Linked DNA regions of Canis lupus familiaris. The protein of the gene in region 7 binds, or shares a complex with, the protein of the main gene of each other region. Links are inferred from orthologs where the notes say so. Each region holds a gene or a part of one and is shown on either strand. Other genes may lie near its edges.

Region 1 (4,390 bases), on a different chromosome or scaffold from region 7:
CTCTACCCTCTGGAAGTACTGCTGTTCCTCAGTGGTCTGTTCATGTCCTCTGGATCCAGGGACCCTTTAACCACACTCCCACTGCAGTCTTCCAGATTCCAGGGTCAGGTCCTTTAACTGTCCCCCAACTGTTCTCTAGCCCCCAAATTACTGCTTTAGGCTTCTTAGCTATTACCTGTGTCAATTCATAGGTCTAAAGACCCCTAAACACAGCCCTGATACCATGCCCCCTCAGCCCTTCATCCCTGGAGTCCAACCTTGCTAGTGACACCCCCCATCATCCCTCGAAGACAACCTAGCTGTACACCTGCCCTAGTTTGTCAGCAATGGGATTCCTAGCATAATCTTTTCCCCAGTGGAAATGGAATATAATACCATGCTATGCTGTTTTTATTTTCTCCCAATATGCATGATATATCTGTTTGCTGCAGCCCTTCAGGTGCAGACACTATGCAGTATATGCTTTGTGTCAATGTCACCCTGGCTCCCCATGCACATCCAAGTCCCTCGGTGACCCTGCTCCCATCTTTGGCTTGCCTGATGACTGTAGACCAGCTCTGGCCCATGCAAATCTTAAAAAAATAAAAAAAGAAGATTTTATTTATTCATGAGAGAGAGAGAGAGAGAGAGAGAGAGGAAGGGGCAGAGACATAGGCAGAGGGAAAAGCAGGTTCCCTGCGGGGATCGTGATGCGGGACTCGATCCCAGGATCCCAGGATCATGACCTAAGCCAAAGGCAGATGCTCAACCAGTCAGCCACCCAGGCGTCCCTCACCATGTTATATTTAGTATATTAGACCTCCAGGTCAAGCAGGTGGCTGGAGATTTTGGCCACGAGTTAAATAAAGCACCCAGGGTTAGAGGAATAAATCTGAAATTCCTGAGCATTTAGGTAGTATTCACAAGTCATAGGACTGGATGGGATTGGTTGATTGACTCATTTGTTCATGGAAATATGTTTAGAGCTAGGCATTGCGGTAACGAAAAATACACAAAGGAAAATCTATACCCTCAGAACTTGCATCCTAATGGGGAGGAATAACAACAGAAACACGGTATATTAGGGATCACCATTAAGGAGGAAGATAAAGCAGGTAAGGGCGGGAAGGCTGCAGTTTAAATAAGGATGGCCAGGGAAGTCCTCAGTGGGAAAATGTTACTTGAGCTGAAGTCCTGAAGGATGTTCGGGCAGGAGTCGTGCAGGTACCTGGACGACTAGCATTGCAAAGGTGCTAAGGCAGGAGCTCGTCCAGCAAGTTCACAGAAAAGGACAGGCCAGGGAAGAGCGGTGGGACCTGGAGACCCAGAGGTAATGGGGAGGGGCGTGCGGGCAGCTCCGGAACCGATTGAAGCTAGGGAGGTGACCTAACATCCCGGGAAATGTTGTTTGACGTTAGCCCCGCCCCAAACTCCCGCGGGCGTCTAGGCTCCCAGGTCGGCGTTTTGGCCGGAACTCAAGAGCCGACGCCGGGCCGGAAGTAGTTTTTACCCGACCCCATTTTATCCGCGGCCGCACTTCCGGTAGCGGCGGCGGGAAGCGGTGTAGTAGCGGGCGTCTAGGCCTCTGCTGAGGGCAATCCGGCGGGAATCGGAGCCATCAGAACCGCCACCATGGTGAGGACGGGCAGGCCGGCTGCGCGGGAACTTCCGAGTCTGTCGTGGAGTGGGCACCGCGGCCGGTCGGGAGGAGGTCGTGGGTTGGGGGCTCATGGCGGCGAAGGCCCGGGCCGCAGCCGCCGCGTCTGGGCGGGGGAGACTCGGACCGTGGCCTTTGGACGGGTTGGGGGAAGGGAGGGCTGGGGCCGAGGGACGGAGGCCGGGGCCGCTAGGTGGTGGCGAGGATGGGCCCGCGGCTGTCCACGCCGCTGTAGCCACGGTGCTTGGGATCCTGCAGGCACGAAGTAAACTTTTGCGCAATAAATGCGCGTTTGGGGTTTCGGAGCAGACATAAGAGCCTCAGGAGGACTCGTGAAACGGGGTGAGGGTCTGAGGGGGACTTGCGGAAAGCGGGGAGGACTTCTGGCCGAAACTAGAGAGCGTGCTTGGGTCTAGCAGATGGGAGGAGGGAATGGGAGGGAAACCGAAGATGGAGGAAGGGTTCAACTCCTTTGTGGGGCAGGTCTGTGTGAGCGTGTCTGGCTTCTCAGGCACTGGGGCTACTCCACTCCTTTCGCTTTCTAGTTGCGGACGCAGGTAATATGATCCAGAGTGGTAATTAAGCGCTGCGTAAAAGTAACGGGGCGGGGGGGGGGGCGGGATAAGAACGTTTTCCTGGAGTAGATGGTTCCTGAGCAGAGTCCTAACAGGTTGTTACAGGAGTCTCCCCAGCCTCGATGGAAGGGAGTATTGTAGATTGGGAGGGCTCCAAGAGCAGGGCGTGAAGGGCCGCACTGTTGAGGGTTCCTGGAGGGGTCGAGGGGGAAGGGATGGAAGAAGAGATGGGAGGAATTGGCAGGAACCTGGCTACTAAAGGCTTTCCATGCTGCCTGATCCCGTTGGTGATGAGGGATGCCGTGGAAGGATGTAGCCAGCGAAATGACGTGGACGCAGTTGTGTTTAGAAAGAGCGCTCTGTTCTGTGGCTGTTGCGTGTTGGGTGAACCGAAAGCCGGGGATTGTTTGTAGGATTGGTTTGGAAGAGTAGGCACTGGATTCAGTCTGTCTAGGTTCCAGACCAGCTTCCTGGCTGTGAGACGGGGCAAGCTACTTAACCTCTCCTGACCTCAGTGGCTGCATCTGTAAAATAGGAATAATAATTAGCCTGGTTTTTAGAATTAAATGAGATATTTAGAGACTGCTGGGTGGCTCAGTAGTTAAACATCTGCCTTGGGCCCAAGGTGTGATCCTGGAGACCCGGGATTTAGTCCCACATCAGGCTCCTTGCATGGAGCCTGCTTCTCCCTCTGCCTGTGTCTCTGCCTTTCTGTGTCTCTCATGAATAAATAAATAAAATGTTTAAAAAAATAAAAGATATTTAGTGCTTGTCACAGTGCCTGGTACGCAGTGAACGACCAGGAAGACTTACCTATTATAAGGTGGACAGACCAGTAAATGTTGCCATAAGGCTTCAGATCTGTGTGGCTAGAATCTAGAGGGCAGATTTAAATGGGGACACTGGACTCAAGTTAACCAGCTTGTAGCTGGTTAACAGTCATTTGAGGGAGAGTGAGCCACATAACTTGTGTCTCTAGGCAAGGCTCTGATCCACACATTGGTGGGTTGAAAAACCTGTTCTTGTCCAAGCTTACAGAGATGAACAGCAAGCACAGTAACTGGCAAGAAGACGACACTTGGAAGGCTGATACACAAATCAAATGCCAGGTTATTTCTAGAGAGGTATAACTGCCAAAGGCACCTGGCAATTTGCGTTGTGAGTTCTATTTAGTCTGTCTTTTACCAAAGCTACCTTGGAAGCCAGGCTACAAACCAGAAAAGGTTGTTGGATTGATAAAGAAGTTTAAAGACCATTATGTGTTCAAACTGATGAGCACCCTGGCCACCAGAAAGTTTCCCTCCCAAAGACAGTTTTGGAGGCACATTAACATTTTTCGTTTAGGGATTCCATTTGCCTTGCCTCCAAGCTCATCAGCTCCTTTCTGATAATAGATTCTTGCTGATTGGATCCTTAGTGCCAATCATTCCAGCTGTTTTACTCGGTCCTTTAACTGGGCTGTGGGTGTTCCACAGCACTGGAGTCACACACCTGTAACCTGCATAGTGGCAGATGGCTAATCTGGTATGGGGGGATTGGATTAGTTTGGAGATACCTTACTCCTCACCCCTGAAACTGACACAGCAGACACACAGGCAATTGTGATATGAAAAAGACTGATTTTAAGGGAGAGTAAGAGAGTTGTGGGCAGAGGTCTGGGCTGAACACTGGGTGTGGGAGAATTCCCCGGGAAAGGAAGACAGAGCTGAGAAGTTGTTGAGAGAGATAGCCATGTGGAAAAGTAGGCCAGAGCTGGTTTTTAGGAAGGACCAGGGATATATAGGTTCAAAAGAGCTTGACTCTGATCCTGCTGATTTCTCCTTGCAGACTGTGGGCAAGAGCAGCAAGATGCTGCAGCACATCGACTATAGGATGAGGTGCATCCTACAAGACGGCCGGATCTTCATTGGCACCTTCAAGGCTTTTGACAAGCATATGAATTTGATTCTCTGTGACTGTGATGAGTTCAGGAAAATCAAGTGAGAAGTGGGCTGCATGGGGGTGGGATTTAAATTGTGAGGGAAATGGACTGGGTGGGTGGGCCAAGCAACAGGTAGTGATGTAGCCAGCTGGTTCCTTGGTTTGCTCTCCTGTGTTAGAGGGCAGATTTAAATGGGGACGCTGGACTCTTAAGAAATCTCCTTCGTTATTAGCCCGGCAAGCCTTGCTCTCTAGTCGT
Region 2 (3,807 bases), on a different chromosome or scaffold from region 7:
CTTGGCTCTTTGGAGGCCTGGCACAGTTCCCTCAGCCTGTGCAGATGCCAGGTTGAGGCTGTCTGCACTTGCTTGTGTGTGCATTCCGGGAAGGTGCTGAGGCACCTGAAGCTGGGGCCTGACACTCCTGTGTCACCCCAGAGCCTGGCCCACAGTGGGTGCCAGCTCACTGTAAATGAGAGAATGGCCTTGACAGACCAGAAGCACAGTGCTTTGTGGACAGTCCCTGGAGGTTGAGGAGCTCCACGTAGGTAGCCAAGCCCCATGGACCTTCTCTGAGATCAGTCAACTCAGGCCCACAGTGTGTCTCTCATTCAGCACATACTTACTGTTTCTCATGTGCAGAGAGCAAAACAGGTCATTTCCTGGAGTGAAAGGAAGCTTGCATTATGGTGAGGGAGGAAACTGGAAAACAGTTGACCATAGTGTGTCAGATGCTGCCTCTGCCAGCAACTGGATTTCAGGAGCAGGGGAGGAGAGAGTCCTAGCAAGACACGCTGACAGGGTTTGAGTGGGAATCCGATGAGGGAGGAGGCGTGAGATGTGGGGGGAAAGCATCCCACTGCAAAGGTCCTAAGGAGGCCTGTGTTGCTGAAACAGTGTGAGAGTGGAAGCAAGGGGTTGTGGTTGGAGGAGTCTGAGTTGGGGACGGTGCAGAGCAGTTAGTTGTGCAGGGGCCAGGCAACTACGGGTCTCTCAGATGCTGGCCAGAGAGGAGACATGAGATCTGACTATTCACCTGTGTTATTTTCTTTTTTTAAATAATTTTGACCAAAAAAATAGTAATAATTTTGACCAGCAAGCACCTTTTTTACCTTTTTTGTTTTGTTTTAAGTAGGCTCCACACCCAGCGTGGGGCCCCCTGCAGGGCTCACATTCCTAACCCTATGATTAAGACCTGAGTTGAGATCAAGAGTTGGACGCTTAACTGACTGAGTCACCCAGGAGCCCCTTTTGCCTTATTGTTATTTTAGAAGATGTGGGATCCCTGGGTGGCGCAGTGGTTTGGCGCCTGCCTTTGGCCCGGGGTGTGATCCTGGAGACCCGGGATCGAATCCCACGTCGGGCTCCTGGTGCATGGAGCCTGCTTCTCCCTCTGCCTGTGTCTTTGCCTTTCTCTCTCTCTCTCTCTCTCTGACTATCATAAAAAAAAAAAAAATTAGAAGATGTACTTATTTATTAGAGAGCGAGAGCATGGGTGTGTGCTTGCTTGTGAGGAGGAGAAGGGGCAGAGGGATAGGAGAGAGAATCCCCAAGTATACTCCACGCGGAGCATGGAGCCCGATGAGGGGCTCCATTCCAGGACCCTGAGATCATGACCTGAGCCGAAATCGAGAGTCAAGCGCTTAACTGACTGAGCCACCCAGGCAACTCCCTTTTTTTGTTTTTAATTGAAAACTTCAGATGCATGAAAGTAGAGAGACTTAGTACGGTGATCCCCTGCCCTGTAGCCATCACCCAGCTTCAGTTCCCATCCACTTAGGACTGTGTGATTTTACCTGTGCTCCCCTGTGGCACCTGCTTAGGTAATTTTGAAGCAGATGATCAGAAACGTGTCGTTTCATGCTTAAGTACTTCAGTGTATATCTCTAACAGATAAGGATTTAAAATACTTTTTTAAATATAGTACCGCCGTTCCATCTAAAAAGTTAACAGGAATTCCTTAGTGTCATCAAGTAACCCAGCCAGTGGTCAGAATCTGGAATACTTTCATGATCTTTTTTTTTATAGTTTTCAAATCAAGATTTTTAAAAAATCCACACAGTTTTGTGTGGTTGGTATCGCCTAAGTCTCTTAATCTGTAGATACTCTGCTGCTCTTTTTTCATAGTTTGTTAAGACTTACTTGAATGGGCTTTCTGGCTGCCTGGTGTGGAGTCGGCGGGCACGGGCAGGGAGGGCAGTGGGAGTTTGTTGCAATGACACAGCGAGGGAATGGGGGGGCGTATAGGAGGTTGGGGAATGTGGCAAGATCTGAGATGGAGGAGGGGTGGTGGTTGCTAGCAGCGTGTTGGGGGCTGATGGAGCAGACGACTCCAAGGAAGACCACGTAGGGTTTGGGTTTTGCGGGACAAGTAGGAGTTTCTCAGTGGGATTGGAACAGGAGGCTTGAGCAGCTGGCTGTCCCTCTGGGTCTTCGGAGGTTCAGGGCATGCTGACACAATGTCTCCTTTCTCTGGTCTCTTGGCGTGTGTCTTCTTTCTAGGAAAGTACCACTGCCCAGTGCTGTTCACCGTATTCACCAACAACACCCACATCGTAGCCATCAGGACCACCGGCAACGTGTACACCTATGAGGTGGGTTCTCAGGAGCTGCGGCACATATAGGTTCTTCAGGTATATGCCCCAGGTATATGCCTCAGCACCCAGGTGCTGAGGGTGCACCGGGCGCCGTGGGCACAGCCTGTCCCCGTGGAGCTTACGTGCTAGAGCCCTTCCTGTGGCCTCCTGACCTGAAACCTGGGAGGTTGTTTTATACTCGGGGGGTTGGCCCTGCAGTCTTCATCTTCGCTGACCAGGCCCTGGGAGGGAACCTGTGCTCTGATGGCAGGTCCAGGAGAGCGCTGAGCCCCCCCTCTGCCGCCTCCTGCTGGAGTCCCCAGGAGGAGCAGATGCAGGCTGGTGGGCACGCCTGGCGGTGGGCGGCCCCGATTTCCACCCGCATCCTGCTGCTCTGGGCCAGCAGAGAGTACAGCAGCAGTCGCGTGGGTGCTGTGTTGCAGGGAAGCCCTCTCTGAGCTGTTTTCCCACCTGTCCCTGGCTGTTGGCAGGGTCTGGATCTCCAACGCTGCCCTGTGGGGCCTGGGGGTCACTTTTGCCCAAAGTGTGCACAGATTTGGTTGGAGGGACTTGGTAGAGATGCACGGCCAGCGTTGTTGAGCCTGTTTGCTGATGTCAGATGTGTATCATTGGAGTGTCCTTCAGTGAGCTTTGCTGAGATGGCTGATTCGAGTGTCTGGGGCTCGGCAAGCTCCGTCCTCCATGGTGGGGCCACTGCTGTGAGCCCCCAAAGAGTACGTGGTCGTGCCATCCTTTTCTGCACCCCTGGAATGGCGCCAGCCCCTGGGTGGGCTCCAGGCTGCTGGTGCCAGGGTGGGGCAGGCACCATAACAGCGTGCTCCCTCCTGGCTGCAGGCAGTGGAGCAGCTAAATATCAAGGCCAAGAACTTCCGAGACCTGCTGACAGACGAGCCCTTCTCTCGGCAGGATATCATCACCCTCCAGGTGGGCGTCCCCTTGCCACTGCTGTTCCCAGGGAGGACTGGGGTGCCCCCTGCCAACCCCTCCTTCTCGCCCAGGCTCTGGGGCCTGCCTAGTTTTGGTTTCCCAGCTCCTGGGAGCACCCCCAGCTCCAGTGCCCCTGCTATCAGTCTAGGTCTTCACACGGCTGCTCTTCTCTGGTTCTCACACCTCTCCTAATGCCTGTCCTTGCTCTGTCACGGCCACTCATGTCTTCCATGAAAGCCATCTCCGAATCCAAGTGGGAGAGGATGGGCTGGTGTGTGCTCTACCCCAGGGTTGAGCATAGGACGTGCCTTGAGGTGCCAGACCTGAGTGGGTTCCTGAAAGGCCTGGACTTAGAAACTCTAGGGGTGGCCTTCGTGGGCCATTCCTGTCCATGGCTTGTCCCCTCCTCGTCAGAGGTCCATGCACACTCACTCCCATGGGGTTGCTTGCAGTCACCAGAGCCTGAGGACTGCAGGCTCTGTGTCTGGCAGCTGGGCTGGAGGGAGCTTGGGAGGGTGTGTCGGAGGCCTAAGGTGGATGCCCTGTGTCTCCCTACATCCCCATGATGAGGTCTGTCCAT
Region 3 (4,558 bases), on a different chromosome or scaffold from region 7:
TCTACCAATGGCAACACCTGTCAGCTTATACCTTAGCTCTTCTCTTGCCTGACACCTGCTTTCCCACCTCTCCCCTTAAAGTACATTTTTGTTTCTCAATGGCTCCCCCCTTTCCCCAAGGACCTTCACCTAAATAATTCAGACTCCCTCAGGCTTCCTCTTGTCGCAGTTACCTCATCTCCCACTTTGAGCTGTCCCTTAACTCCTTTCCACTTGCTAGCTCCTTAACCTCCTCCCCTCCTACAACTCCTCTCCAAGTCTCTTCAACCAGCCCTAAGTGCTCTACATCCCACCTAATTCCCCCAGCTCTGCACTCAGTGCTTGGCTCTCCCCCAGCCCTCCCCTCACCCCTGCTCTTCCATCATCTCTTCCAGCTCGAGGCATCGCAGCTCCACGCGCCGCTTGCGCTCGTGGTCCAGGATGTCAGGATTAGGCCGCTTCACCAGGGCAGCCTCCAGGCGCCGCAGTTCCTCCTCTCCCTTGTAGTCAGGCCGCTCACCCCGGCGGCCCCGCACCAGGGACAGGTTGCGCTGGACGTAGCCGTTGGTGCCGCTGCCCCGGGGCGTCGGCAGCCCGATCCCGTTGTACATGGCCCCGTGCCCGGGGGGAGGGGGGGGCACCACCGCTCCTGAAGGGGAGCGGGGAAACACGGGTCAGGGCCCTGACCCCAAACTAACCACCACCCAAATCCCTGTTCTCCTTCATCCCTATTTCAACATGAATCTCCACATTACACCTCCTTTAGCTGCATAATCCTCCTGGTCTCCTAACAAAAACCCTTCCTTACCTTTCCTATACTTTCCATTGAATGACATCTACGCTTACAGCCCTTTCCCCCCAAAATGCGAGAACTATTTCCATTTGTTTGCACCTAAATGTTCTTTTCCACCCTTAAAAAAAAAAAAAAAAAAAAAAAAAGAAACCTATTTCTCCCAAATTTCTCCACACTACCTCTTTATTCTCCTTTGGCCCCAATAAGCACAAGTGACGTCTCCACCAACCAATCTAATCCCAAACATCTGTTAACTGACTAGGATCTCCCAACACGGCACAACCACCACCATGGATCTGTGTCACCTAAAGGCCCACAGTCCAAGTTCAAAGGTTCTTCTAAAAACTGACCTGAAAACTTCAGACTACCCCGATACAAAAACAAAACCTACATATTTGAACTGTGGACTAATTGGTTCCAACATAAACCAAGTGTCCTGTGCAACCTCACACTCAAGAATAAAAGCCAGCACGCCTATCATAAACATATGATTCCTGAATACAGAATCCTCTTCTTCTTTACCTCCCAAGAGACCATTTCCTTGTTTCCAAATATTATAAGCTCCTATTACCAACCCCACCTAATAACTTATTCCTTTAATTTCCTTCCCAATAGGATTTCTTACATGATCTGCAGCTCACCCAAGTCTCGTTAGCTTTTACACATCATCTGTTCTCAACTCAATGCTCTGAACACATCAAATCAGCCTCCTCTGCTCCAACTACCCTGTACTCTCTACGTCCCTTGCCCTCAACTTATTCAGAAGCCCCCTCACACTTTATACCCATCTTCACTAACCTCAAACTGTCAGCTTTCCCTGGCAATCCTCTGTATCTGACTTCCTAGAGTTTCTCCTCCAGCCCTGTCTTATCCCTTTCATGTTATCTCCATGCCTCCTACCAAGTTCTATTTTCTCAACCTGTTCCAAAGAACCCTCAAACCCCCATTCTTCTGGTTAGATCGCTTAGTTACGCATACTCTATTTATTTTCCCTATTATGTATACTTTATTTCTTCCCTCATCTTATCCTGTCGAAGACAGCTTCACAGAGCGTAAATGAGGGAAAATTACCCCAAGAATAAAACCCAAAAAATAAGTAAAATTAGTTAAAGAGATAAAAATGGATAAAAGACTTATTTTTAAAATTCTAAAATTTTTTTAAAAAGTATACAAACACCTGGAAAAATATACTAAAACAAAAACATAAGTATGGGGAGACAACGAATGGAAGAAAAATTGCCGAATTCCAGAACTGCTTGTACCTCTATCCCCAAACTCTAAAGGCTGGATCCCTGCCCAATCCCATTAGCAGATCCAAGAAAGCTTGGGGGGGGGGGGGGGGGGGGGGCTTGGAAAAAAAAAAAAAGGCCTAAGGTAAAGGAGACAAAGCTAAACCTAGGAAAGGCAAGTAAATATGCACAAAAAATTGAAAAATCTCCTTACAGCACAAATCACTTTCTCTACCTTCCAATCTTCACTTCATTTTCTCAAATCCCAATCCTCCCTACTCTAAACCTAGGTCTCTTTCTCTAAACCCCACCTAATTTCTGCCTCCCATAAAGAACGCTTCTGACATGCAATTAATTCTTCAGCTTAACCATTCACCCACACTTCCATACCACCTCACACAAAAATCCTCCCACTCCATTAGGAGAAAAAACCAGTAGCTGCTGAGAAAAGAGTATTAAAACACAACGAATTGTAGAACTTTTAGAGAACAAGCCCCCCCCCCAATCCCACAGCTTCAGAGGCAGTCCTCAAAACACTAAAAGGAAGAACCTAAGGGGAACGTCAACACAGAGAAATAACCAAAAAAAGTAACTTTGTAATAAAACAGGCATTCTTAACTGGAGTCCACAGACTGGGAAAGCACAAAAGTTACTCAAGCTAAAGTCAGAGTAAAAATAAGCTGCAAAGCAAGACAACAGAGAATTTCTTTTGTTGGGAAATTTATCACAATGCCAAACTAACAAAGCGTTAGAAAGCAACCTGGAAATTCAATACTAAGATACTGAAGACAACGCACCAAAAACAAGGAGGTAGACGTGCAGGAAAATGGACATAGGTAAGCGCGGAGAGGGGGCATTTCGGTGGCTCGGAGGACACTATGGAACCCAGAAAGTTTGAAATATTAGTTCAAGAAGAAAACCTAATAGCACACACTTAAAACACAACACTGTCTCCGAATTTCTGGTCCAGACGACATCTTAGATAAGCGTGAGTGGAAATGAAGCCTCCGAGAGTTGGGTGCCAAATAATGCCTGAAACGGCGCCCAGCGATTCCTTCCCAAGGAAGGGCTCCAACGGCCTCCTCGGCTTTAACACAACTTTTGAGAAGACGATTATAGAGTGGAAAAATGAAAAAAAGAATTAAGAGAGACCCAGACTGCCTTTACGTACCTGGGCTGAACACGTCTTAAAAAAAAAAAAAAAAAAAAAAAGGTGGGGGGAGCAAGGTTTGCAGCGCCCCTCTGCCTAGCGCTTCGGGGCCCGACGCGCGGACACCTCGTCCCGGGCCTCCCAGCAGCGGCCGGGCTGCCGAGGCCTATTTTCGGCCTTGAGGCATGGGGGAGGGGGCTGCGCGGCGCCCGGGAGTCTGGGCGGCTCTGCGCCGGACCGCAAGCCCGCAGGAGGGCCCGGAGGCCGGAGGGGCTCGGGGGAAGCGATCGGGGAACTGGCCCCCGCCGCCGCCTCCCCACCGACAAAATGTCGGAAGGGGCAGCCGCGGGAGGGCCTCCTCGGCCGCACGCGTGGGGGAGGCGAGAAGCCGAGGCGCGCGCTCCCCACCTCCCCGCCGCGAGCGCGCGCGAACCCGAGAGCAGTCGGCGGCGCGAGCCGTTGCCATGGGGGAGGGGAGGGCAGTAAAAGCCCGCGCGCGACGGGAACCGAACGCAGCCGAGGGGGGGAGGGGAGGCAGGCGAGCGAGAGCGTCCGCACGAGCTAGGAGCGGCGAGCGCGCGTGCGCGCGGCGGCCTGGACCGTTCTCCGCGCGCTTTGGCCTCGCGCCGGGGGCCGCCGCCCCTCCCCCACCCGGCTCGCGCGCTCCCTCACCCTCTCACCCGCCGCCGCCTCCGCCCGCCGCCTCCGAGGGGGAGAGGTGTTGCCGCCGCTGCCGCTGCTTAAGCTCCCGAGTCCCTCGGGGCCTGGAGCTGCCGCCTCGCCTCGCCGGTCCGCCTGCCTGCCTCAGCCGAGACCGACGCCTCCTCGCTTCCTCAGGGGCCGCAGCGGGTTCCGACTGCGCCACTCGCACCCCGCCTGGGCCGCGCTGCACGTCAGCACGACCAACTAAGCGCGTCAGCACGCACCCGCGCGCGCGGCGCAGGGCCCGTCGGGAACCGTAGTACGCCCTGCGGCATTGTGCGCAGGCGCCGAAGCCACACCGGGAACTGTAGTTTCTTAAGGCCCGAGGGAGGGTCAACTCCACAGCCAAGGAACTACAAATCCCTTTAGCCAGTGCGACGAAGGGCGGGCGAGCGGCCCGAAACGGGCCACGTATTCCAGAGCGTTTCCGCCGGGAGCGGGGCGGGGCACAGGGCCTAAGCGCCACATCGAGGGTCGCTAGCGCGCTCCCCGCCCTCCCACTTTCGACGCAGAGCACTGTGGGAGTTGTAGGTCGTGCGTGCCGCGGGACCCGTATGTGGCTTCGCCAGGGACACGGCCGCCATTTTATCTCCCCATGTTTGGAGTTGATGGTGCGAGCCCAGCGACATAGCTGCTCCCGCGTGAGCGCGGGCTTCGCGGGGCGTTCCCGCGGCCGCGTCGCCCTCGGCCTTCAGCCCCCGAGAG
Region 4 (4,468 bases), on a different chromosome or scaffold from region 7:
AACTGAACCACAGCTAATTGTAAACATTACAATGAGAAGTCCTGCCTCTCTGTGATTAGTTCCCATTTCTAGGCTAATGAGGCCCTCCATGAACAAAGAAAACACGCGGTCTATAGGCATTATCAAAGTAAACTACTTTAGAACAGCTCTTGGAGGGCTCACAAGTTGAACTGGACATATGCCTTCTGCTCAGATCATGATCCTGGGGTCCTGAGATCAAGTTCTGTATCAGGCTCCTGAGTCCATCAGGCTCCTCAGAGAGAGCCTGCTTCTCTCTCTGCCTATCTCTCTGCCTCTCTCTCTGTGTCTCTCATGAATAAATAAAATCTTTTTTAAAAATTAATTAATTAAATAAAACAGCTCTTTGAAAAGTGTCACCTCTTTTGGGCCCTAACATTCCCCCTTATAAATCCACCCTGTACTAAGAATCAAGATTGAGAGTCTTGCATTTCAAAGTCCTCACAACCTCAAAAGATACACACCACAGGCAAATCTCCATCATCATCTTCTTCCTCTTTTTCTGGTTTAGTGGTAGAGATAGATGTCCAGCTCACATCATCATCCACAATCCGCATTCTAAATATGAAAAATAAAAAGATCAAAAAGGGAAGAATCATTCTTGGGTGACAGCCCACAAACAGTTATCTATGGATTTAGTATAAGCTACAAGACTCTGCAAGGTCCAGTCTTTGCCTATACGGCCAACTTCACCTGTACCACTGCCTCCACAGTTCCCTACCTTGCTAATCATCTTTTGGTGCCTGGAATGAGCCAATACCTTACCACATCAGTTTTCACATATTCAGTTCCTTCCTTCGGCCTGGCCTACTCTTCTTTCTTTAATGGGAAACTCTTAAGAGTCCTAGGATACATTTAACTTCCTTGAGCTTCTCCCCTTACTTCCCATGACTAAGAACCTCTGTTATGCATCCTTGGAATACTTTCATTGCATTAATCACAAAGAAAATAAATCAGTTAGTTGTGTAATTAGCTGTTTAAAGCCAGGATCCCTGTTAAACTATAAGGCCCACTAGAATAGGGACTATGCCTTCTCATTCACTGTGATATCCTGAACACCCTGAAGTAACTGGCATAAGAAGTAGGTGTTCAATACATGTTTGTTACACAGATAAACTATGCATGAGTCCAAGTAATTAACAATGACTACCATGATGTGAACAATTCTATCTGAACAGCCAGTTATCACTTTATACCTCTCTAATCACAACCATAGAGCGATAGTATTACTCTCCTTTTAAAGAGGCAGTAACCGGGACACCTGGGTGGCTTAGTGGTTGAGTGTCTCCCTTCCGCCCAGGCCATGATTCTGGAGTGCTGGGATCGAGTCCCACATCAGGCTCCCTGCATGGAGCCTGCTTCTCTCTGCTTCTTTCTCTACCTCTCTGTGTCTCTCATGAATAAATAAATAAAATCTTAAAAAAAAAAAAAAAATAGGGACGCCTGGGTGGCTCAGCGGTTGAGCATCTGCCTTCAGCTTAGGGCCTGATTCCAGGGTCCAGGGATCAAGTCCCACGTCAGGCTCCCTGCATGGAGCCTGCTTCTCCCTCTGCCTGGGTTTCTGCCTCTCTCTGTGTCTCTTGTGAATAAATAAATAAATAATCAATCTTTTAAAAAATAAAGAAAGGAAGCTGCGGTAACAGTCTTGGAGAGACAGTATGTTGCCCAAGGCCGTAGAGCCCACAACGTGGCACAGCCAGGACTCAAACTCTGACTGGTATTACTCCAGAGGTCAAGCAAGCTATTTTCTCTACATGGCACTGTCTGTGTCCAAACAATCGACACAAGTCGGAAGGCAGGAAGACAGAGGGCAAGAACAGGCAAGAAGCAACCCACGAAAGGAAGTGGATTTGGGGGATCCCTGGGTGGCGCAGCGGTTTGGCGCCCGCCTTTGGCCCAGGGCGCGATCCTGGAGACCTGGGATCGAATCCCACGTTGGGCTCCCGGTGTATGGAGCCTGCTTCTCCCTCTGCCTGTGTCTCTGCCTCTCTCTCTCTCTCTCTCTCTGTGTGTGACTATCATAAATAAATAAAAATTAAAAAAAAAAAAAAAAAAAGGAAGTGGATTTGGTCTCTGGAGCTGGGCGTATTGGTTCCCCAGGGCTGCCTGACAAAGTGCCGCCAACCAGGCGGCTTAAGGCAACAGAACTGTACTCTCTCAGGGTCCTGGGGGCTTGAAGTCTGAAATCAAGGTGTCTGCAAGGCAGTGCCCACTGGGAAGGCTGGGGGCGGGGGGATTCCTTGGCTGTTCCAACTGCTGGCAGCGGCAGGCGTACTCGCATACTCTGGCTACTAGTGGCAGCGTAAACCCAGCCCAAGGCCGGCCTCCATCTTCACACGGCGGGCTTTCCCCATCTCTGCGTCCAAATCCCCCCCTTCCTAAGGGGTCCCCGGGCACGCTGGATTTGGCGCCCGTCCTGATGTGCTGTGACCGCATCTTGATTAGCTACACCCGCGGCGGCACTACTTCCGAAGGAAGTCACGTCCTGGGGTCCTGCGCGGACCCGCCGGGAGAGCGGCACGGCGGCCCCGCTCCGCCGCGGAATCCTGGAGCCTCGGTCGGCGCCCGCCCGCGCAGGACTCGGCCCCAGGTGCGCGCGGCGCCCGACTCCGCCGAGCCCCCGGCCGTGCCATCACAGGCTCCGGGCGACCCCGCCGTTCCTCTCGGCGCGACACTCACTCTCCACGGGAGAGGCCGGAAAGCCACCGGGGCGGGAACAGCCTGAGAAAGTTACCGGCGGCCGGAGGCGGCGAGCGCACGGCCGCGGGGCGCGCCGGCCGAGCGCGGAGCCGGGGAGCAGAGGGGCGGCCGGCCGCCGCAGGCCCCGCCCCGCCCCGCCAGCACCCACTCACCCCCTGCCGCCGGCCCCGCCAGGCTTCGGCCGCTTTTTGCGACGCTTGCGACCGGAGTCCGGGCCCCCGTCGACGCCGGCACCTGCCCCAGACAAGTAACGCTTCAGATACTCGGCCTTGGAGAGCGGCGGAGCTGCCGCCATGGCAGCGGCGGGGGCGGGGAGACGGCTCGGCGCTGGGGACAAATTTCCTGAACGCGAAGCGCACGGCGGGGGGCCCCCGGGGGGGCGGGGCCGGGGCCGGAAGTGGTGGAGAGCTGTGGGACCCGCCCCGGGCTGACCCCCGGCTGCGCTTGCTGGCTCTCCGCAGGTGCGCGCGCCTCCGATTGCACCTCCACCTCCCCCTCCCCCTGCCCCTGCCCCTGCCGGCCCGACCGGCAGGGGTTTGTCCACCTGTCTGCCCCTTCAACCTACGATGCAGCTGGCGGGAGGCTAAAACCACGACCCAAACAAGATCTCTGTCCCCAGCAGCTCCAGAAGCACCATAGCGTCGTCAAGACCTCGGGCTCTGGAGGGACGGTGTCCCTAAGCTGGAGTTCGGGCTCCGAAACTTCCAACTGTAGGTCCGGGGGCAACTTAATTAACGAACTGGGGAGTATAATGGCACCTAACTAAATGGCTTCGAGAAATGAGACACTTTTACTGCGTGAGATGCTTAGCACAGTGTCTGAAGCACAGTATGTATGTTGTTTGTATTAGTATGTTAGGTGGAGGTTAGACTGCTCTAAATAGTCTTCCACGAACCATTCAAGAGAGGTCAGGAATTCCAAACGTGATTACCATGAAAAAATATGGAGGTTTCTCTAACCTGTGACCTTCCCCACTTTTGATAGAATACGTAGCCCCCAACTATCTGTTGCCTGCAATCTTTCCTGTGAAAAGGACCTGGCTCTATTTTCAGCCAGATAGAGAAGCTGAATTCTAATTATCAAGTTGGGAGGGGCCGGGGGGAGGGGACATACTCCTTTTCTTCTTGTGAACATTATTTTACATAAATTACCTCATTTAACAAATCTCTCAAGTGGTTTTATTATGCTTGTTTCACAGATGAGAAAAACCAAAGCTTGGAGAGGTTAAGGAAGTTGTCCAACTTTATACAGCCAAAATGTGACCCTTGGGAGCAGAAGCTAGCCAAGTGAGGTACAAGAGGTAAATCCAAAGTTTGTGAAAATGTTAGATCAAGTATTTCCCTTATCTCAACATGTTAAATTTTTGTCACTGTTTGAAAGCCTATTAGTCAAGAAGGCTTGCTTGTTATACTTTATAAATGCTCTGCTCAGAATCCAGGATACATGCTCAAAAAAAAAATTATATATAATATAGGTGTGGAAGTCCCAGCCCTGATGGATGAACTTTTAACCACAGTGTTGTCCTGACTGGTCCAGCTGAGGCCCAGGAAGGAAAGCAGACTGGGTCTCTGAGGGCTTGTGGGGATACCAGATTGATAGAGGGCTTCACTGGCTGGAGGTCCCCATGGGTCCCCCAGACACAACCCTGTGTTGGCTTCTAATCCACTTTGGTGGACCTCAAACTGAACTTTCAAAGCCCTGCCTCTACTACTTTGTGGTCAGCAGGCATTTGAAGACTTATCTTTCCATT
Region 5 (3,807 bases), on a different chromosome or scaffold from region 7:
CTAAAGAAATGAAGATGAAACAGAAAATCGGGGCAGCCCGGGTGGCTCAGTGGTTTAGCGCTGCTTTCAGCCCAAGGCCTGATCCTGAAGACCGGGGATCAAGTCCCGCGTCAGGCTCCCTGGATGGAGCCTGCGTCTCCCTCTGCCTGTGTCTCTGCCTCTCTCTCTCTCTCTCTCTCTCTCTCTCTCTCTCTCTCGCGCTCATAAATAAAAGCTTTAAAAAAAAAAAAAAAAAGAAAGAAAGAAACAGAAAATCGTCATTTCCCAATCCCTAATGACATAATGAATCTAGGCAATGGGCATCGACAGCTGCTGCTAGGTAAAAGGTTGACAGGGAGCAAATAATTTAAAATACATACAAACATCTTAACACCATTACAAGTAGGATAGCCAGACATTACATGCCTCCTGATATAATAGAAAGTAAAGAGTGCCACTTATTGGGCCCCCCCAAAAATAATAAATCTGGGGCAGCCTGGATGGCTCAGAGGTTTAACGCCACCTTCAGCCCAGGGTGTGATCCTGGGGGCCCGGGATCGAGTCCCACATCGGGCTCCCTGCGTGGAGCCTGCTTCTCCCTCTGCCTGTCTCTGTCTCTGCCTCTCTCTCTCATGAATAAATAAAAAATATTTTAAAAATAAGACTTTGTTCAAAAAGAGAGAACATGAGTTATGTTAATTTTTATAGTGATTACAAATTGAAATGACATTTAAAATATACTGGGTTAAAGAAAACATTAAGATTAACCTCATCTGTTCCCTTTTTGTGGCTACTTGAGTATTTAAATTACACATGTGACTTGCATTATATTTTTAATGAATAGCATGGTCTAGACTCACCCAATAGTTTACAAGAAATAGAGGATAGATAAACATCAAACACACAAGGAAGGACTCTGCCAAAGCCAGCAGGTAGAAATTCAAGAAAATGATCTAGTTTCTGGGGATCCCTGGGTGGTGCAGCGGTTTAGCGCCTGCCTTTGGCCCAGGGTGTGATCCTGGAGACCCGGGATCGAAACCCACGTCGGGCTCCTGGTGCATGGAGCCTGCTTCTTCCTCTGCCTGTGTCTCTGCCTCTCTCTCTCTCTCTCTCTCTCTGTGACTATCATAAAATAAATAAAAATTAAAAAAAAAAATGATCTAGTTTCTTTAAAAAAAAAAAAACTTAATGGAGTAGAATTTATTAAAAGAAACATAAAGGGATAGATCACACAGATGCAAACTACAGATAGCTTTATGCAGATCCTAGGTAGAACTAAAGTCAAAAACATTTCTGGAAAAACAAAAACGAAACAAGAAAAACCAGAACACAAACAGGTATCAGATATTAAAGAACTGTTAAGTTGTATTAGGCATGATAATAAAATTGAAGCCTAAAAAGAAAACCCATAAATCTGGTAGAGCTACATTCTCAAGATTTATCGATGAAATGATAAATCACCTTGGATTTGCTTTAACATATCCCAGAAGAAAGAAAAAACAAAGAATAGATAAAACAAGAACAGTAGAATGTTGGTTAACTATTAAAACGAGTGATGGAGGGCAGCCTGCGTGGCTCGGCGGTTTGGCGCCGCCTTCAGCCCGGTGCCTGATTCTGGAGACCCAGGATCGAGTCCCAAATCGGGCTCCCTGCAGGGAGCCTGCTTCTCCCTCTGCCTGTGTCTCTGCTTTCTCTGTGGGTCTCTCATAAATAAAGAAATAAAATCCTTAAAAAAATAAAAATACAATAAAAAAATAAAACAAGTGATGGGTACATGTTACATTAGTCTAACTCCTGTGCATGTTTGAGAAATTTCTCAATTAGGAAGTAATTGAGAAATAGCAAGACATAGCAGGGCTAGATTATTTACCCAGGGAGCTGAACAAATAATCATTAAGGAAAACGAAAAGTGTATCGTCAAAAACACTGACACTCTGCTATCCTTAGGTTGCTGCTTTTCATGCTCTGAAAAGCCCCAATGCTTTGACAACAGTAAACATCTAGGGGTCCTTTATTACTAAAGGAGTCCGTTATAAAACAAAAGGTATTAGTTTCCAAAAGCTGCATATTGTGAAAACTGCAGATGACACTTCAGACTCCCTCTAGTTCTGACCCAAAGCAGTGATCACATTTATATCAAAGACTCTTTCTTTATGAAAGTATCTTTTCCTAGGCCTGACCTTTCTGATTAGTACTAAGAGAAAAGGAACACACAGCAGCACCATTCAGTTTTCATAAGGTGGTAAACTGAACAGGCTCAGCAAATGCCCATATTGAACAAGGACTGCATAAAAGCTAAAGACGACCTGACATCAACAATGCTCATCTGCCTTCAGTTCAGGGTGTGATCCCAGCGTCCTGAGATCGAGTCTCCCATTGGGCTCCCAGGAAGGAGCCTGCTTCTCCCTCAGCCTATGTCTCTGCCTCTCTCTGTGTATCTCTCATGAATGAAGAAGTAAAAAAAAAAATTTTAAATAAAAATAAAAAACAAAACAACAAAAAAACAACAATGTGAGCCTTGGATCTCTTACCTGCAACCCAATATTCAGGTATAGGAAGCCAATAGAGCCCCTCTCACCCAGTTCATCTTGCTTCTCAGTTCCACCCATTTCCACAATACACAAGGACTCAGGCTGGGCTGGGAGAGCCTGCATGCTCAGGGGCTGCAAACAGTCCTAAGGAGGAAAGAGAAAAGAATAAAACATGGGAAATAACCAATTTTGGAAAAATCTAATTTGAGGAGTGAAGAAACAACTTTCTTGTGGATAGGGGAATCTTACAGAGTGAGTTCTAAATGGGTTACTACTAGTTAAACCAAATGTTAGAATAAGCTCTAGAAAGAACCATGCTTTCCTTTCCATAAAAGTGGATAACGGTAAATGTAAATAAGCAAAGGGCACTTATTCTTATCTAAGGTCCAAAGCCAGTCTGATTCCTTTTCTGCAAAGTCTTTGGGTTTTGTTTAACTATAAAAGGGAGTCAAGGCTTAAGGTAAGGAAGCACTTAGTAGTCTGGGATTAGGATCTTTAAAGTACTGCAGAAGACTCCTGAGGTGTGCTGCTATGATAATCACAAGTGGCAGATGCTGATTTCAGGGGCTAACCTAGCTGATCCCAGAAATGCCCATCAGGAATGGGCCAGCAGCTCAGATTCCAGTGAGAAGATCCTTGAAGTCCAGGGTAACACTCACTGAGGGGTCCAGAGAGATGATTCTGACAGTATTGTCCACCAGCCCCACAGCCAGGAAGCGAGACCGTTGTTCTCCAGGAGGCACATTGGCCAGACTCATGCACACCACGTCTGCTGACATCTCCTTCCGCTCTGTGTACTCATTCAGCTGTCCTGACTACATAAATGAAACAGAGAGAGGTGACAAACCACTCCAACTCGCCCCTAAACCCTGGGCCTAGGAAAGGAAGAGGTACTGTTAAATTCCTTTGTGCTTCCTCTCACTCCTCTTATTATAATCAATGACCAAGCATTTCTCTACTTAAGATCCCAAGACTGAACTCTACAGGCTAACAGCAAGCAAAATTACTGACAAGACACTCAAGGGACAACACAGTATCTTTGTCTTTGACAAATACAATATGCTTGCTACAAATTTCCTAAAGCAAATAGAAATACAGAAAACTGCTTATCTGTTCATGAGAATACTTTTTGGTGAAAGAGAATTCAAATATGGAACTTAAAAGACAAAGAAATCTCAATCAGAGGTACAGTTAGACTATCAGGTTAGCCACAGCCAGAAACTTCCCGAGACTGATAATTAAATATATCCAGCATCCTTCCATACAGAAAAGCAAAAGCAAATTTCTGAAATGGCTT
Region 6 (3,807 bases), on a different chromosome or scaffold from region 7:
TTGGCTCTGTGGTCATCTGCTTTTCAGAAGCCAGTGATAATTAAAATCCAAAGGAATAGGGTGTGTGGCAAATTCCCTTGTTCCTAGGACATCTTGGGGTCAAAGGGTAACTTAATACAAAACATCAGTAAAATGGTAAATTTGTCCCCCCCCCCAACACTGCACTAGCATTGCTTTTCATTGCACAATTAAACCTCAAGAGGCTCTTTAGAAAGCATCACCTAATAATATCACTCATGAGCTCTTTATTCTAGGGAGACACTAATTCAAACATTGCCTAAAGCAAATGTGGTGTACTTTCATGTACTGACACTTCCAAATTAAAAAAAAAAAAAAAAAGGAAAATCAGAAAAAGATAAAGAAAAAAAGCAAAGGAAAGGGATAGATAAAGAACAAGAAATAAAGAAAGCCCTCACCGTCTCACTGGAGATCTACTCCTTCTATGCCTGGGTGGAGGTGGCATTCGTCTTGGTGGGGTTCTTCTGCGAGGAGATGGCCGCCTTCTCGGACTTGGCCTCCTTCTAGGGGAGTATGATCTGCCAGAACAAACAGAATTAAGACCTGAATAAACAAGAGCAAGGGACGAATTCCTTGATACAGCTTTCTCAACAACTATATATATATATATATATATATACATATACACACACACATTTTTTTAAAAGATTTTATTTATTTATTCATGAGAGACATAAAGAGAGAGAGGCACAGACACAGGCAGAGGAAGAAAGAGGTTCTTTGCATGGAGCCTGATATGTGACTCAATCCCGGGTCTCCAAGATCACACCCTGGGCTGAAGGTGGCGCTAAACCGCTGAGCAACCTGGGCTGCCCAACAACTAGATTTTATTTTTTTTTTCTTTTTTTTTCCAACAACTAGATTTTAAAAATGGACTTCAAGGCATACCATTTTCCATTTACGTAGAGATTTTTATGGTACACAGAAAGTGTCCTCAGATTCTCTCTTTAGGTCCAAAGAATAACACTTGTACTAAATGCTTTCTACTGCTCTGAAATTATTTATCTAATTCTACCCAGAGGGATGCCTAGGTAGAAAGCTCAGTGGTTGAGCATCTGTCTTTGGCTCGGGTTGTGATCCCAGGGTCCTGGGACTGAGTCCCACAGGGAGCTTGCTTCTCCCTCTATGTCTCTGCTTCTCTGTGTCTCTCATGAATAAAATCTTAAAAAAAAAATTCTATCCAGAGAGCAGCATGCAAAACCCAAGATCTATGTCGATCTTGAAGCCATAGCTCACCTTGATCGGGATCTATGACGCCGTCTAGGTCGAGTATGAGACGGAGAGCGAGACCGTGTCCGGGATCTTGATTTGGAACGTGACCGAGATCTTGGTCGGGTCTTCTCCTTCTCCTTTTCCTTTTTGGAATTTTTCTCCGGAGTAGGTTCTTTAGGCTCTGGTACAGGTTCGGGTTTGGGAACTTTCAGGATGTCACTGTATAAACAGAAAGCTTATTTTTTTTCCTTTTTCAGCTGACTCCTAAGTCATAACATAATGACATAGTAGGATTTTTCTTTTTAAAATGTTCTCAGGGGTGCCTGAAAACAGGGTGGCTCAGTCAGTTAAGTGTCTGCCTTCTGATCAGGTCATGATCCCAGGGTCCTGGGATCCTCAGGCTCCCTGGCTCTCTGTCAAATAAATAAAATCTTAAGAAAATAAATAAACAAAATTAAATGTTTTCAAAATCCATGAAGACTTCTCCTTAACCCTAGATATATACACATCACTGAAACTTAAAGAGCAAGTAACGATCCTAACCACAAACATTTTTAAAGTACAAAGCTGTCCACGATATTGGAGAAAAAAGGCAAATTACAATATATAAAATATCTGAAACAATACAACCACCTGATAGCAGTGGTCACCTTCAGGGCATTTACTTAAAACTCTTCTGTAGAATTGGAATCTTTTCAACAAGCTGATTTTATGATTTAAAAAATATAAAAGGGGGGGGATCCCTGGGTGGCTCAGCGGTTTGGCGCCTGTCTTCGGCTCAGGGCGTGATCCTGGAGTCCTGGGATCAAGTCTCACATCGGGCTCCCTGCATGGAGCCTGCTTCTCCCTCTGCCTATGTCTTTGCCTCTCTCTCTCTGTCTCTCTCATGAATAAATAAAATCTTAAAAAAAATATATATATATATATAAAAGGGAAATAAGTAATTTTATGTTTGTAATTCAATTATATTGGCAGCCAGTTATTAACAGCCTAAACTATGATATTTATAAATGAATTTTTATATACTTGCCTAGTAGAAGTGGCCTCTTGTACTGAAGGTTCTTTTACTTTCACTGATGGTTCTGGGAGCTCTGGAGTTTTTTCCTTCTTTTCTGGAGCAGGGGAAGGACTCCGGCTCTTGGTTCTGTGACGGGGAGATCGAGAATGACTGCGCTTTCTCTCTCTCCTGACAGGGGAAGATCGTCTTCTAGGGGAAGGAGATCTGGATTTGCGTCTAGGATGAAAGTAATTTTTTTCAGGTTTTTGAATAATGTGGATTGGGAGAGATCAAAGGGCAAATTAATCTTTTTAATTACACCACTGTTTGTTATACCTGAGAAATTCCTTGTGAAAATAAGATATCTTGTCATATTTCCTTAACAGGGGAAGGGCCAAAAGAAAACCAGAAAGGCAAGCAAACAAAGGTAACAATATTTTCCGGTATACCAGTTATAAGAGGAAAGCACTGACCCAGGACTCTAGATTTAGATTTTTAATCATTCCTAGGGACGAGGAGACCAAAGACTAACTTTTCAGAGGAAAGGAATGCTTGAGAGGTAAAATGATATTCCCTAATAGTAACTCAAGTCCAACAAAACAATTTAAATGCAGAAAGATCCCACCACAGAGTTAGGTAGTCTATATATATTTTAGAAAAATGACTAGTGCAATTAAAGTAATATGCTCTTCAAAAGAGGAAAAAAAAAAAGTCAAACTTGCATAGTCTTTGAAAAAGACCACTTTCCTTTACAATTACAGTTTCTCTAACTTGAAGTAAAACAGCAGACCTGGTTCATCAATAGTTAACCACCATGATGTGCTGAACTCTAGAAGACTGCTTCCCTGATAAGGTTTTAATACCAAATATATAAATAAAAATGGACAAAGAAATCTCCTCCTCCCTTTACTAATTCCAGCAGACTTATGAAAAACTTAGAACTCTAAAAATGAAAGCCTAGGAGAATTCTCACCTTTCACCACAAATACAGTAGAAGCTGAGTCGTGGGTTTAAAAATGGGAACCTAACCATAGTCTCATTGGAAGGAAGAAGAAAAATAAGTGATCTGTTTTGGGTTCAGTACAACCATCTAAGAAAAGCAGAACAGGGAATTAGGTAAGTATAATACAACTAGCTAATGGGCACAGACTTCTAATAAAAAGGAAAGAAAAAGAGTAAAATAATTCAATGCTATATTTAAACAAAAGCAATATGGTAAAAAATAAAAATCTAGATTTTGATATAGGAATTAACAGTTGTATTATTCACCAAGATTTTAGAGACAATTATTCTAGTCAAATGTTCGGTCTCAAACAAAACTGATGTATTTCAGGCTAGAGACAAGCCTTATTCAGTCCATTGTGAAAATGAACGATGGAAGAAGTTCTCTGAATAGTGCTGTTAGCTTCCTTTTTATTCTGTGCAATTTTCTACACACAGAATACTTGCAAAACATCAGGTATGCATGCACTGCATTATACCTTCTTGGGCTTCGAGACCTCTCCCTTTTTTCTCTGCTGCTTTCTTTTTCTTCCTTATCCCTCTTATCCTTGTCTTCATCTTGCTTTTTCATAGATGCC
Region 7 (3,807 bases):
AACAGATGGATCATAGAAAACCATTTTCAGCTCTGTACGTTGATAAATATATTTTTAAAGCCATCTGATCAAGAGACTGACCTCATTAGCTGCCTCTGGAGAGAACTGGGTGACAGGAGTCTAACAGGGAGGCAGTTTTCATCATGTACTTTTATACCTCCTGCAATGTTTTGCAGCCCACAAAATATTACCTACTCAAAATATTTAATTTAAAAATTTAAATCTAAGAAGTTACACAACCACCATGAATCTCTAGCCACAAAGTGCATCAGGCTCCCTTGGGAACACAGAACTTCAAGTATAGTCAAAGTAGGAAAAAGGAGTCACTGTGTGCAGATCAAAGAGCTGCCAAAGTGTAGGCAGAGGAGGAATGAGGACACAAGAGGCAAACAGAGCCACATGGAATCAGAAGTCTCAGCAAGAGGCAGGAGAGCTAGCTCCAAACAGAGGCCAGGTCTGCTTTTCAGAAGTTGAGATCTTTCCCTCCCTCCCCTCCCTCCCTGTGTCATATGCAATGCTGACTTCTGGAAAATGGATTATTAGACAATTGAGAAATAGATGGACTTTGGGAACCACATTCCCAATTTTGAAATAGGTTGCTGTTAAGGATGTGGATCTTCAGGGCAGATCTGAGCCCTGGCCAGTCCCTTACCTTCTCCTGCAGGGCCTCCCTCATCTCCTGGATGCCTGTGCGTTTGATGAAGTCTGGCAGCTCAAAGGGGGGCTTCTCAATGCCTCGTTTGCCCTGTAGGTACTTGCGCTTAAAACACCAGTGGCGTGGTACAGGGACAGAATTCCGAGTGGCCTTGAGGTGAACCAAGAGCTTGGGGTCCTGCGCAGTAACATCATGCATCTCCACAACATCAGGCCGAGCCACAAGCTGGAAAACACAGCAACATGCCACTAGAAAGCCATAACCTCTCAGATCTAAAACTTTCTCTTCCTCAGAGGACACGTGCCCATGTGACCCAGGCCTCCTTCAAAGCCTTCCTCCCTATCCCTAAAACAAGACCCCTGTGGATTTGTAGGAGCTTCTCATGTGGACTCCCAGCCATGCTCACTCTAGGATCTGCTAGATGAACTCAGGTCTCACCTGCTTCAGTTCAGCCACAGTGAAGCGATTCATTCGGCGCAACTTTTTCTTGGATAACTTGGGGGCTTCTGGCTTCTTCTCCTAGAACAAAACCATTATTTCTTTTGAGCAGGACTCTGAGGTGTGAATCACACTTCCCAGCTCACCCCAAAGTGATTCTTTGTAGGCGTTCATCATGATCCCCCACTGGATGCATCTCAGCCACCCATCTTGAAGCCCTACCCCCCCGACCAGGAACATGAGGGCCTCACCTGTTCGTCATCACTGCTATCGTCATCACTGTCCTTGTGCTCTTCCTCAAAGCCCTTCTTCTTGGGGGCCGTAGAGTTCTCCAGTTTGTCAAGTTTCTCTGGCTCCTTCTCTTTCTCCTTCTTCACGTCATCAGTGAGCTGAGGAGGCAGACAACATGGAAACTCCAGCCCTGTGTCCCTCTCTAGTTCCTGAACGCAGCATTGAAAAGATGCCCTCCTTTCCACATCTTTCCCCATCCCCTTCCCTTCCCTGCTCAGCTCTGCCTCTTCTTAAGGCACTGCTCCCTGTACCTTGAAAGCCTCAAAGATCCTCTTGAAGAAGATGAAGTTGGGCTCATAAATTTCAGGCTCCTCAGTCACATACTCAATTTCAACATCAGCTGCCGGGGAGTCAGAGCCACGGGACCGGGTTGACTCTTTCTCTCGATCCCCAGAGCTCTCAGATGATGCCCCCCGAACCCGCTGGGGCTTTTTCTTCTTCTTTCGGTTCCGACGCTTCCGGTTTTTCTTGCAAAAGGAAAACCAACTGGGTTGGAGAATCCAAGCATGATGTCTGCCCCCTAATCTCCTCGTCCAATTTCCCCAAGGGACTGAGGACAGAGACCATGAAAAGGTCTCCAAAGTTCTGCCCCTCTCAAGCTGTGTACCTCTTGGTAAATTATTGCACCTCTCAAAATCTCAATATTTGCAACTATAAAACACAAGCACACACGGTACCCTGAACTGCAAGGATTTATGATAATTAAATGCAAAATATCTATAAGATGCTTGGGAACTGGCACAAACAGCAGCTATTGGTCATTGGACACCTAAAACTGGTGCTACTTTAGTCCCCGGACATTCTTTCCAGACTCAGGTCCATCCCATACCTCTTTCTTGGAGACAGACACAGTGTCCTCCTCAGTCTCCGACGCAGACTGGCCCAGGGATGAGCGAGTGTCTGTTTCCATTTCCTCTTCTTCTGTAAGGGAGGAAAGTGGCCATCAGTCTCCTCACATTGGTACCCTGACACTTGCCCACAGTGACTCCTCTTTACCAAGAACCAGTTTCTCTCTCAAACCCTCCTCAGGGAAGGGATGGAAGAATGCAGACTCGGCCTCCGCCTCTCCAGGTTCCATCCTACAACCCTCGGAACACAAAACACTCACCCTGTTGAGAGTTCATCTCTTCCTGACGGCTTTCCTTCAGCTGCAGGATCTTTTCCAAAGCTTGGGGGATCTTGGGTCCCACAGAAGGGTCATCCATCTGCCATACACAACCCAGACAGAGATGATCTCAAGACTTCCATCTCTTGTACTAGAAAGGCTGCCAGCCAGGTGATGTACACAGCCAAGAGCAACAATACTAATTGGACCCAATCATCCCTCAGCACCCCTCAGAACCCTGCCCCAGAAATGTCTCCCAAATCCCACTTCCTGCCCTACATAAATATGCTTTAACGAAGTATGGCTCTCACCTGCCCCCCAGCCCCAGAAGCCCTCCTATCTTCTCTCAGAATCCTTCTCTAAAAATCCAGAAACAGTACCTTCCTAAACCACACTCTCCTATCCCTAGAAAGAAATCACCAATCTCACCTCTCTATTCTCATCTCCAGGAGGTGGTGGGGGACCACGAGGCCGGGGAACCGGGGCCCCCATGGGCAAAACAGTGGGAGTGGGGCCCACTGGAGCAGCAACTGTGAGAAGAAAAAAATCCAATGTCAGAAGACACAATGTTCATTTTAAAAATTACCTTCCTTGCTAAAGACCAATGGTAACCCTTAGGGAAAGGGGATGGCTAGAAGAAGCCCAGGAGAACTTCTAAGGTACTAGAATTGTTTTCTTTTTTCTTTTTTTTTTTTTAATTTTGTTTCTTGCTCCAAGTGCTAGTTGTGGGAGTTGTTCAATTTATTACAATTCATTGGACTATATGCTTACAATATACGCACTTTAAAGAATAAGTACTTACATTTAGGATTTTTCAAACACACTCCTTTCCCTTCTCTTCCATTTCCAGGGTCTTACCTCGAGGACCCAGAGGAGTGCGAACACCAATCTGGCCCATGTCTTGTGGGGGCCGAGGGACTGGGGTGCCCATCTTGGCAATCTCCTGCTGACGTTCCTGCTCCAGGAGCACAGCTGCCTATAAGAGAGATGTGGGAGTGAATACACAGCTTGGAAATCCATTGGTCAGGCAGCCTCTGGCAAATGTAGTCTTTTAGCCAGGAGGCCCAAAGAAGAACAATCAGGTACCACTTGAGTTCTGACATCCTCACCAGCCCCACCCTGGAAGGGTGATTGGACTATTGATCCAAATGGAAGTGGCCTCTATCACAAAAGAAAACCCCTGCAAATAACACGCAAAAAAAAAAAAAAAAAAAAAAAAAACCTGGGAAACTCGTGGTTTCTAACGGAGAATTTAACATTTAACTACACACAGCCTTCTATTTTTTTAACAAGAGCTTTTCCCCCAAGAGATTAAGTT

What was found.
Region 1: SF3B2 (region 7) and SNRPB share a complex: the UniProt entries of both Homo sapiens proteins name them as parts of the minor spliceosome. The link is inferred for Canis lupus familiaris from reciprocal best matches to the Homo sapiens genes SF3B2 and SNRPB.
Region 2: SF3B2 (region 7) and PPIL2 share a complex: the UniProt entries of both Homo sapiens proteins name them as parts of the minor spliceosome. The link is inferred for Canis lupus familiaris from reciprocal best matches to the Homo sapiens genes SF3B2 and PPIL2.
Region 3: SF3B2 (region 7) and SRRM2 share a complex: the UniProt entries of both Homo sapiens proteins name them as parts of the minor spliceosome. The link is inferred for Canis lupus familiaris from reciprocal best matches to the Homo sapiens genes SF3B2 and SRRM2.
Region 4: SF3B2 (region 7) and BUD13 share a complex: the UniProt entries of both Homo sapiens proteins name them as parts of the minor spliceosome. The link is inferred for Canis lupus familiaris from reciprocal best matches to the Homo sapiens genes SF3B2 and BUD13.
Region 5: SF3B2 (region 7) and SF3B3 share a complex: the UniProt entries of both Homo sapiens proteins name them as parts of the SF3B subcomplex of the 17S U2 SnRNP complex. The link is inferred for Canis lupus familiaris from reciprocal best matches to the Homo sapiens genes SF3B2 and SF3B3.
Region 6: SF3B2 (region 7) and SRRM1 share a complex: the UniProt entries of both Homo sapiens proteins name them as parts of the minor spliceosome. The link is inferred for Canis lupus familiaris from reciprocal best matches to the Homo sapiens genes SF3B2 and SRRM1.

The regions. Positions count from the first base shown.
Region 1 is NC_049245.1:19,125,543-19,129,932, forward strand, and holds the start of SNRPB (small nuclear ribonucleoprotein-associated proteins B and B'), read left to right. Parts: upstream 1-1,456; 5' UTR 1,457-1,611; coding exon 1,612-1,614; intron 1,615-4,038; coding exon 4,039-4,190; intron 4,191-4,390. UniProt on the Homo sapiens protein: Plays a role in pre-mRNA splicing as a core component of the spliceosomal U1, U2, U4 and U5 small nuclear ribonucleoproteins (snRNPs), the building blocks of the spliceosome.
Region 2 is NC_049247.1:31,118,154-31,121,960, forward strand, and holds part of PPIL2 (RING-type E3 ubiquitin-protein ligase PPIL2), read left to right. Parts: intron 1-2,205; coding exon 2,206-2,297; intron 2,298-3,134; coding exon 3,135-3,224; intron 3,225-3,807. UniProt on the Homo sapiens protein: Has a ubiquitin-protein ligase activity acting as an E3 ubiquitin protein ligase or as an ubiquitin-ubiquitin ligase promoting elongation of ubiquitin chains on substrates.
Region 3 is NC_049227.1:38,736,166-38,740,723, reverse strand, and holds the start of SRRM2 (serine/arginine repetitive matrix protein 2), read right to left. Parts: upstream 2,851-4,558; 5' UTR 2,836-2,850; coding exon 2,799-2,835; intron 629-2,798; coding exon 349-628; intron 1-348. UniProt on the Homo sapiens protein: Required for pre-mRNA splicing as component of the spliceosome. As a component of the minor spliceosome, involved in the splicing of U12-type introns in pre-mRNAs.
Region 4 is NC_049226.1:16,817,134-16,821,601, reverse strand, and holds the start of BUD13 (BUD13 homolog), read right to left. Parts: upstream 3,057-4,468; 5' UTR 3,014-3,056; coding exon 2,871-3,013; intron 577-2,870; coding exon 483-576; intron 1-482. UniProt on the Homo sapiens protein: Involved in pre-mRNA splicing as component of the activated spliceosome. As a component of the minor spliceosome, involved in the splicing of U12-type introns in pre-mRNAs.
Region 5 is NC_049226.1:77,098,519-77,102,325, reverse strand, and holds part of SF3B3 (splicing factor 3B subunit 3), read right to left. Parts: intron 3,326-3,807; coding exon 3,170-3,325; intron 2,655-3,169; coding exon 2,511-2,654; intron 1-2,510. UniProt on the Homo sapiens protein: Component of the 17S U2 SnRNP complex of the spliceosome, a large ribonucleoprotein complex that removes introns from transcribed pre-mRNAs.
Region 6 is NC_049223.1:74,434,958-74,438,764, forward strand, and holds part of SRRM1 (serine/arginine repetitive matrix protein 1), read right to left. Parts: coding exon 3,709-3,807; intron 2,465-3,708; coding exon 2,261-2,464; intron 1,450-2,260; coding exon 1,255-1,449; intron 537-1,254; coding exon 417-536; intron 1-416. UniProt on the Homo sapiens protein: Part of pre- and post-splicing multiprotein mRNP complexes. As a component of the minor spliceosome, involved in the splicing of U12-type introns in pre-mRNAs. Involved in numerous pre-mRNA processing events.
Region 7 is NC_049239.1:51,708,390-51,712,196, forward strand, and holds part of SF3B2 (splicing factor 3B subunit 2), read right to left. Parts: intron 3,466-3,807; coding exon 3,348-3,465; intron 3,020-3,347; coding exon 2,919-3,019; intron 2,590-2,918; coding exon 2,493-2,589; intron 2,306-2,492; coding exon 2,214-2,305; intron 1,852-2,213; coding exon 1,636-1,851; intron 1,483-1,635; coding exon 1,345-1,482; intron 1,175-1,344; coding exon 1,094-1,174; intron 881-1,093; coding exon 653-880; intron 1-652. UniProt on the Homo sapiens protein: Component of the 17S U2 SnRNP complex of the spliceosome, a large ribonucleoprotein complex that removes introns from transcribed pre-mRNAs.